Linked DNA regions of Xenopus tropicalis. The protein of the gene in region 1 purifies or fractionates together with the protein of each later gene. This does not show direct contact. Links are inferred from orthologs where the notes say so. Each region holds a gene or a part of one and is shown on either strand. Other genes may lie near its edges.

What was found. Proteins that work in one complex are often made in the same cells at the same time.
Region 2: the proteins of tle1 (region 1) and foxg1 purify together in Homo sapiens (affinity purification with western blotting; 3 studies listed by BioGRID and IntAct, with this or other methods). This does not show direct contact. The link is inferred for Xenopus tropicalis from reciprocal best matches to the Homo sapiens genes TLE1 and FOXG1.

What each region holds. Positions count from the first base shown.
Region 1 is NC_030677.2:133,429,070-133,433,935, forward strand, and holds the end of tle1 (transducin-like enhancer protein 1), read right to left. Parts: intron 3,355-4,866; coding exon 3,278-3,354; intron 1,852-3,277; coding exon 1,744-1,851; 3' UTR 385-1,743; downstream 1-384. UniProt on the Homo sapiens protein: Transcriptional corepressor that binds to a number of transcription factors. Inhibits NF-kappa-B-regulated gene expression. Inhibits the transcriptional activation mediated by FOXA2, and by CTNNB1 and TCF family members in Wnt signaling.
Region 2 is NC_030684.2:112,467,158-112,471,979, reverse strand, and holds foxg1 (forkhead box protein G1), read right to left. Parts: upstream 2,914-4,822; 5' UTR 2,654-2,913; coding exon 1,355-2,653; 3' UTR 1,242-1,354; downstream 1-1,241. UniProt on the Homo sapiens protein: Transcription repression factor which plays an important role in the establishment of the regional subdivision of the developing brain and in the development of the telencephalon.

The DNA.
Region 1 (4,866 bases):
CCTGCCTGGTGGGTGAAATCTAGGTTAATTTACAGTGCTTTTACCCTGTGTCTGGAAAGAAAAAAAACTACAAATTTGTTACTACAAATGATAATGCAGTAATGTAGATGCTACTTTTGTGCATTAGTGTTCAATCCATTTGTCACTTGTTTCCATGTGTATAGACATATAGGTCAGCAGGCTACTTAGTGAATAGTAGAAATGCAGCACCAGTGATACTTATTTACATAGGCGAACTGTAAAACTATGAAATTACAAAGGCACACATTTATGAGTGGCTGGCAACCGAAACATGCACTTTATCGCAGATGGATGAAAAATTAAGGAGATAAACTAATTATCAGGTACCAAGAAATCAACAAAAAGAAGAAAATATTTTGAGTGCAAAAGGACATAATTAAAAGATTTTAATTTGGATGTTGAGCAGAATTAAAGAAACCACGCATGTATACATAACATGAACAAGCAGCTCATTATGGCTTGTTACAAAGGCTCATGAAAGAAAAGAAAGAAAAAAAAAAAAAAAAAACAACCCACGGAGTTGCCAGCAAAAGGCCCCTACCAGGTGAAAATGAAGAAATACTAGGTCAGAACTTTAATCACTCAATCCATTCAGTGAAGCGTACCAGATATGTCATTTGCTCTTGGGAGATTCCATTTAACCAAATTATTCTAGATGGAGTCAAGCACCTTCTTTAATTCTCCCTTCAAGGCATAAAATGTTGGGAACAATTAAAGCATACAGGGCTAAAAATATGAGAAATAGGCTTTAATTTTATATATACACAATTAAAGAACCCTGATACTCCCCAAGCTAAGTACCAGCAGATAGTCTGCTTTTAACAGATCTCTCAAGTTAGAATGGCATGATGATCTGACAGGGCTTATGTAAATGGTTCTAGCAATCGAGTAAAAAGAGAAAGCTAAACAAATTGTTAGAAAGGAGGAACAGGACAAACTTCAATTCATCCCATACGCAACTAAAACAGATCTCCAATGATGGCAGCTCATATTTATAACAACATTTACAACTTGCCTAAACCTATCACAGTGTAGTAAAATATGAATAGAACTTCACAACCTTTGCAATGGCAGATAATTACAAATCCTATATACACCATGGGATTTACATTTACATATTGACAGTTAGAAAAAAAAAAAAAAAAAAAGGTCAGTTGGTACTAAAGCCTTTACTGTAGCAAACCAAATATATTTACATTTTTTACAAATGCTTGACCTTAAACCGAAGTACAAAAAAAAAATCACAAAAAAAAAAAAAAAAACACTGTTTTGCGAAGTATAGCAGGATGTCAAATTCATAGCCCTCCAGCTGTCAGGAACATCAATTCGCAGACTAAGAGGGACTTCACTGAGAAATGTAGCTCACAACAGCCATAGGGACAAAAATTTGGCTTACCAGAAGTAAATTGCTAATCTGGAGTTACCCTTACGTTAAGGTTAACACCTGTGTCCGTCACATTAAAAAAAGAACAAAAAAAAGTCAGCAGACTTGTTAAGACATTTCTGATCCACCTCCCTCATATTAGTTTGTTCTAGGCAGTTTATATGTTCAGGAAGTTGTTTGCACTATTTGTGCCAGTAGGAAACAAAAAAAAGTTCATAATCCACAATCAAAGTCACTTCTTTCCTTCTTTCGATTCTAATAATGTGTCTCTTTTCCAAACTAGTAAACATTTTGGCCAGGGAAAATCCATAAGAAAGGTAGTGAAGCTGCCATCACTTTCAGTAGATGACTTCATAGACTGTGGCCTTCTTGTCCCCTGACCCAGTGACAATGTATTTGTCATCGATAGAGATATCGCAGCTCAGTACAGATGAGGATTCTTTGGACTGTGGGAAAGAAGAACACAGAGCTATTATATTGCAGTAGGGATCCTCTGAACTTTAACCTTCAGTTATTTAATGATAACAAGGAATCTCCCAGAGCAGCAATGCAGAATTATTCTGTGTGACTGCTGCAGCAATAATGGACAGAATGCAAAGGGCTACCAGGAATCTATATGTTAGACCACTTTATCCACTTTCTTTTTATTACACAATATGCTGCATTGCTTAAGTGCATGTGAACTTCACTTTTACAATAATAAGGCTTGGCTAGTCTAACCAGGGATCCACCGCGTTGTGGCTCGCAAGTAATAGGTTGTCCCCTGTTACAATAAACTAGCAGCAGACACCAAGCAAGTATACAGTCAGCTAGAGATTGCTTAAAGGACATGTAAAGCCTACATTTGCCTACAATGTATATCAGTTAGGCACGTCTCTCCCACCCAAATGGCATCATTTGTACTGCATATATCCCCTCCGTTTGCTAGCACCATCACATTTCCCTAAAGCAAATAGCAGCTTTCACCCAGTGGCCATTTTTTCTCTGATACATTTAAATCTGCAGACAGCAGATACACACACAGACCATTATTCAGCATACATTTCATCAATAATACAGGCTCACACAGGCAGAACAGTCTTTGATAAAAGTTCTGCTTTGTTTGAGCTGAGCTCAGGAGAGGAGGTTAGGAGAAAAATATTGAAGCAGACAGCTAGAGCTGAGTTTCTATGGGAACCAGCAATGCCATCTCTTCACTAGCTGCTAGACTGGAGGGCGTGTTTATTAATCTGAGCTTAGAACAACTGAGCATGCCCACAAGCCAGAAGTCAAAGCAAATTCCTGAGGGAGGGGGCCGAGTGGGTTACAGGAGGAGAAGGAAATCTAAGTGATTAAGGAGATGTTGCAGCCTTACTATTAACCTCTGGAAACCAGAGTGTCAGGTATTGAAAGATTTCAAAGAGGCTGCTCACTGATTACATTTTTGTGTGTGGGGTTTACATGTCCTTTAAGGCAGCCAAGAGACATTTCTATAACCAAGCAATTTGGTCCTAAATGTGCCTTACAGAGCACAAAATGTTGGAAACCTTTGGCCTAACCTATGTTCTCTATATTAAATGATGCATTATGCCTTAAGCCACACAAGAATGAACACTGAGGCCTGAAAAGTAACTTGGAGCAATCTAATAACATCTTCATAGACTCCTTTCATCATATGGGTCATTAATTACCAAAACAGAAGTTTGTACTATAAAAAAAAGCGGTCATGTAAAAAAGTCACGCTGTAAATATATACACATATCCCCCCCCACACAGATGTTTACAAGAAGCATTCCTTCTATTTAGCTTTATTCTACATTTACGAATCCATTTATAAGTGACATTCATAGAGAAGGCTTATAATTGATTAGCAAGCATAGGGGAAATACCTACCTGGAATATACTGGCTCCATATGGGGTTCGCCAAGCATTAAGAAGATTATCCTTTCCAGTACTTACAAACCATTTGCCTAGACGAATATCGGAACAAAACATTAAAATCATAACAAGCATAAATCATTGCAATAGATTCACATAGCTCTAAAAGGGAATTTTTAGAAAGGATTGTTTTTAAATTAATATATTTGAATGTAATGCTAATATCAGACATTCTTTGGACATATTGTTTCCCTCAGATAGAGAAAAGCATTTTGACTGACACTTTTTAATGCCTGATGACAGCAATAGTCAAAACACACCTAACATTAGCCTAAAAAAATATTTAAATCACTTAGTTAAGGATTATGACTAATTTTCTAATGCAGCTATAATCCTATAAATGAAAGGAAGTACACTAACATTAAATTTTAACCCAATATTTGAATTGTTTTTACGACAGCATCCTATTAAGCATACTGTACAAACACCAACAGTCTGCTGTCTTTCACAATACATACAGTGGCTTGCAAAAGTATTCGGCCCCCTTGAACTTTTCCACATTTTGTCACATTACAGCCACAAACCTGAATCAATTTTATTGGAATTCCACGTGAAAGACCAATACAAAGTGGTGTACACGTGAGAAGTGGAACGAAAATCGTACATGATTCCAAACATTTTTTACAAATAAATAACTGCAAAGTGGGGTGTGCGTAATTATTCAGCCCCCCGAGTCAATACTTTGTAGAACCACCTTTTGCTGCAATTACAGCTGCCAGGCTTTTAGGGTATGTCTCTACCAGCTTTGCACATCTAGAGACTGAAATCCTTGCCCATTCTTCTTTGCAAAACAGCTCCAGCTCAGTCAGATTAGATGGACAGCGTTTGTGAACAGCAGTTTTCAGATCTTGCCACAGATTCTCCATTGGATTTAGATCTGGACTTTGACTGGGCCATTCTAACACATGGATATGTTTTGTTTTAAACCATTCCATTGTTGCCCTGGCTTTATGTTTAGGGTCGTTGTCCTGCTGGAAGGTGAACCTCTGCCCCAGTCTCAAGTCTTTTGCAGACTCCAAGAGGTTTTCTTCCAAGATTGCCCTGTATTTGGCTCCATCCATCTTCCCATCAACTCTGACCAGCTTCCCTGTCCCTGCTGAAGAGAAGCCCCCCCAGAGCATGATGCTGCCACCACCATATTTGACAGTGGGGATGGTGTGTTCAGAGTGATGTGCAGTGTTAGTTTTCCGCCACACATAGCGTTTTGCATTTTGGCCAAAAAGTTCAATTTTGGTCTCATCTGACCAGAGCACCTTCTTCCACATGTTTGCTGTGTCCCCCGCATGGCTTGTGGCAAACTGCAAACGGGACTTCTTATGGTTTTCTGTTAACAATGGCTTTCTTCTTGCCACTCTTCCATAAAGGCCAACTTTGTGCAGTGCACGACTAATAGTTGTCCTATGGACAGATTCCCCCACCTGAGCTGTAGATCTCTGCAGCTCCCCCAGAGTCACCATGGGCCTCTTGGCTGCATTTCTGATCAGCGCTCTCCTTGTTCGGCCTGTGAGTTTAGGGGGACGGCCTTGTCTCGGTAGGGTTACAGT
Region 2 (4,822 bases), on another chromosome or scaffold:
ATTTATACATATACATATTTATATACATCTATATTATACATAATTAAGTTAAAGAGGAGCAACGTTTTTGTAAAGCAAATATATACACACAGACAAACACACGTGTGTTACATATATGATGCAGACAAAGATGTGCAGATGTATAACCCTCATATAAAACATACTGCATTTATCAATGCGCCCATCTTTCTCTATAATTGAATATATACGAATCCATGTAACAGGATAACGTTAGGGCCTACTTTGAACTTTGTGAGTTCCCTGTTTATTCCCCCCCACCCCCACCCCACAAATACATTTAATTTAATAGACAAAAGACAAAACTGTATTCTATAGGAATTTGGCCTATTTTTGATTTTTTTTGTTTATTTCTTGTGTCTTCATAGTAAACATTTTGTATAAGTGACAAACACGGGCATATGACCACATTTTCACAATCAAGAGATTTAAAGACAACAATTACAATCACTCAAATTTATGCATTTTACTCAACACGGGTTATACATATTTTGCAAGGTTTTACCTAGAAGTACAATCGTTTTTTTTTCTTTAACGTTTCACTACATTAAAAAAAAAAATAAAATAGGAAGAAAAATAAAATAAAATAAGGTAACCGACCGGTTAGTGAGCACATACATCGAAATCTACACAACACAAATTAAAGGCAGTATTCAGTTTCCCCCTAGAACTTGTATTTTTTCTAGTATTTTTTTTTTCCCTTTCTGAATGGACAGTGCTGAAAACTGATGGAATTTAATATTATTATTATTCTCTTTTTGTTATGTATCAGTAGGCTGACTGCATGATCTACAACCCAATCTTTGGTCTAAAAGTAAACAAAAAACCCAGCTCCTTTATTTTTTTTTGTGTCATGATGAAAGGATACATATTTAATGGGCAAAAAATAGATATATTTATTGAAATGACAGTTAAATACAAATTAGCATTTGCAAGTTGCTGAGAGTAGATAGTTTTAGTATTGGTTGCTGATCATTAAGGAATATTTTTGCCGAGCTAGATCCAGTAATAATACTGCAGACATGGGACTGGGGGGGCTGCTAACAGAAGTAGAATGCAGAGCAGTCACTAGTTTAGAGTCACATAAGACAAGGGTCAGCAGTCTGACCCACTTGCTTGGACACCACACCTTATCTCAGCAATACAGAAGCCTAGAGACTCAACAAACGTACAGAAAATAAGGGGGACTTCATAAAAAATACCTGGACTTGTCTTTTTATGGATTTTTTTTTTTGTTTTTTTGTTCGCTTGCTTTTTTTTTTTTTTTCCTTTCACTTCTCATGTACAATGGAAATGTGTGTAAAACGTTCACTTACAGTCTTGTCCCAGGGTGATGTTAATGTATCAAAGAGTTGGACGAAGAGCCCTGATTTTGATGTGTGAAATAATCTGAGAGTCCTCCTGAGAGTCCTGTTGTGAAGCTTGGCAAGGCAGGTCTGAGGGACTCACAGGGCAGAGTGGAGGGAGCCTGGGGGGAGGTGGAAGAGGAAGCCGCCCTGGCTGCCATAGAAGTGCTGCTTTGAGAGGTTATAGAGGGGTGAGGTACATGGGGGAAAAAGTAGCCCGTTTGTCCAGCGAGAAGGTTGACAGAGCAAGGGTTAAGGGAGTAGGTGCCCGAGCAAGGCACCGGGAGGCCACATGGCACCGAGGCAGCCAGGGCGGCTGCAGTGAGATGGTGGGTGGCATAAGGGATCTCTCCGTTGACCAGTCTGTCTACGCTCAAGCCATTCGACGTAGAAAAAGAATGGTTGCTCCCCAGTGAGTTCTGAGTCAAGACTGAGCTGTAGGGCATGGGGTGGCTAGGGTAGGCTGAGGTGGTCCCATTGTAGCTGAGGGCGCTGCTGGCCCGGGGGTGGTGCAAGGAAAGGAAAGGGGACATAGGCCAGTACAGGGAGCCGGCTCTATCCATAAATGTCAGCCCGGTGGAGGTGAGCCTGGCTCCCCGCTTGAACGCCAGTTTAGCCCTGGAGGTGGTAGATCTCCTGCGCAGTTTCCCAGTGGTCCCACCAATGAACACATCGTCGCTGCTGGGGTCCAACATCCAGTAGTTGCCCTTGCCGGGGTCATCGTAGTGGCGGGGCACCTTGACGAAGCACTTGTTGAGGCTGAGGTTGTGGCGGATGGAGTTCTGCCAGCCCTGCTTGTTCTCCCGGTAGTAGGGGAAGTTCTTCATGATGAACTCGTAGATGCCATTGAGGGTGAGGCGCTTCTCCGGGCTCTGGCGGATAGCCATCATGATCAGGGCATTGTAGGAAAAGGGGGGCTTCTCGTACTTGCCGTTCTTCTTCTCGCCCCCTTCCTTCCCATTCTCCCCATCTTTGCCGCCGCCACCATCCGCCTTCTTGTCCTCACTCTTCTCCTTGTCCTCCCCGGGCAGCTCGGAGGCAGCCGGGTCTCCCTTACCCGGGGGGAGGCTCTCTGTCTTCACTTCCAGGAGGCTCTTGTCCAGCTCGTCCTCCTCCTGTAGCGGCCGGTGGTGGGGCTGGAGATGGTGCGACTGCTGCGGCAGTTGCAGGTGGTGGTGGTGGTGATGGTGCGGCTGGGGATGGTTGTCATTTTGCACGGCTTCAGGCACTAGGCTGTTGATACTGAACGACGACTTGGGGATCATTTTAACTTCCTTCCTATCCCCCATGTCCAACATATCACAAGGATTGGAGCCGGACACTCGAGTCAAGTCGCAGCAGTAGGAAGCAGCCGCAGCAGCAGCAGCAGCTCTGTCGCACCACCGTCTCCAAACACTTGTAAGTCATGAAGCAAAAAACCAAACGCACATAATATTGGCGTCAATTAAAGGGCTGTAAATACATATACATATAAATATAATCAGGGTGCGAGCCAGGGGAGAGAATGCAGCAAACTATTTCATGTCCCTTCAAAATAAACACAACAAGCGTCCCCTCTGTGCATCTAGAGTAGACAGCTATAGCTACAATTAATTCCAGACCCAGAGACACCAGCCTGGGGAAAAAAGAAGAATTTGCTTTAACCTTTGCATCTTGGAACCAATGGGAGAGCTCAGAGTGCAAGAACGTTCCTTACTCCTCCAGCCAATCACATGGCACATACTTCCAAGGACCCACCCAAAGTTTCTTCCCTCCCTCTTTCTCACTCTCCCTCCCCCCCCAACTCCTTTGCCTTGCGGAGGGATATGGGAGGGAATCTCTTTACCTCTCCTCCCCCCTCTCCTTCTTTCCCTACCAAATATCTGCCATTGCTTTCATCCCACTGTATTGGACCATCTCACTTTTATACGTCAATATTTTCTCTTATTGATTAAAGTTTGTTTATACCTTTTTTTTTCTTTTTAGGGAGAAAATAACCATGGAGGGAAGAAAGTGGAAGAATCAAGGGACTACTTTGCCAGCCTTGGGGGACTGAGGATTTTCTGAGCGATTGTAGCGATTTGATTTACACAATGTAACATTGTGCGCCGAATGTTGAATCGAGATGTTATTTATTTATTTGTTCTAATACGTAACAATGTGTGTAATGAGTCTCTGCTTGGGGGGATTATTTTAGGAGCATGGATCTGTCGGCCCCTGTTTAGTAGGCGCTTGGCTGGGTTCAGGCCACACCAGGGAGGGGGCACTAACGGATAGATGCTATAAGGCAGTAAAATCTGTGCGTTTTGCCTTAATTGCGCAAATGTTACTATCTGAATCAGGAATGCCCCCCTTTTCACTGTTAGATGGGCCAGCTGCACCTTCAGTGCCTTTTCTAACAAGAGGAGGGGGGGCTTGTTTCTTTTGCCTTATTCTGAGTGTTTTTTTCTGATTCCATGCTATGATTAAACTAATTCTGTAGAACGGTTAATATCATCAGGCATTGAAATCAGTGCTGTTTTCCCTCCTAATTGTACAAATACGTTACTTTCCCAACCAGGAATTCCCCTCACCCCCTTTTTTGACTGTCAAATGGGCCAGCTGCACCTTCAGTGGCCTTTCTAGCAATAAGGGAGGGAAGGAGGCTTGATTTCTTTTGCTTTATTTCTTAGTGTTTTCTCAGATTCCGCGCTATGATTATACCAACTCTGCAGAATGGTTAATATTATAAATTCATGAGTCTGAATTTCCAATCTTGCCTTGATTGTGGTGCCACGTATGGAATGATTAATATTATGTATGCATGATACACACCAGTAGCCTTGATTATTTCTATAGGAAAAATCATCTGCAGCAGAATGTGCCACTCATCTGCCTCTCAGGCTTTGTGTGCTATATATATATATGTATAAATACATCTATGTATAGACAGACAGCATAGACCTATATATAATAATATATATTACTATATATATTTAAATATTTCCATGTATAGATAGACGTACATCATAGACAGACAGACAGACAGACAGCAGATAGATAGATAGATAGATAGATAGATAGATAGATAGATAGATAGATGATAGAGCACAGGCCCTATGTATAGATAGAAAGACAGAAGATAGATTGGACAGATAGATAGATGATACATAGATAGATAATTAGATAGATAGATAGATAGATAGATAAATAGATAGATAGATAGATAGATAGATAGATAGATAGATAGATAGATAGATGATAGATATCGCAGTGCTCTGCCCTGTTTGTGTACCCAGCGACTCTTGGTGTTCAGCTGGATATTGTTTGATTCCAAATGAATGACTTTGTGTCCTGACAGTGGGTGATTGCCTTATATTTACACTGTTTATGTTCTACTCCCTGCTAACCCCAAGCTGGCTAGTGTAAATAAACCAATCCATATCTGCTGGGGCATTGCTGGTTGGAGACGATTGTTACTTAGTTGCACCCCAAACATT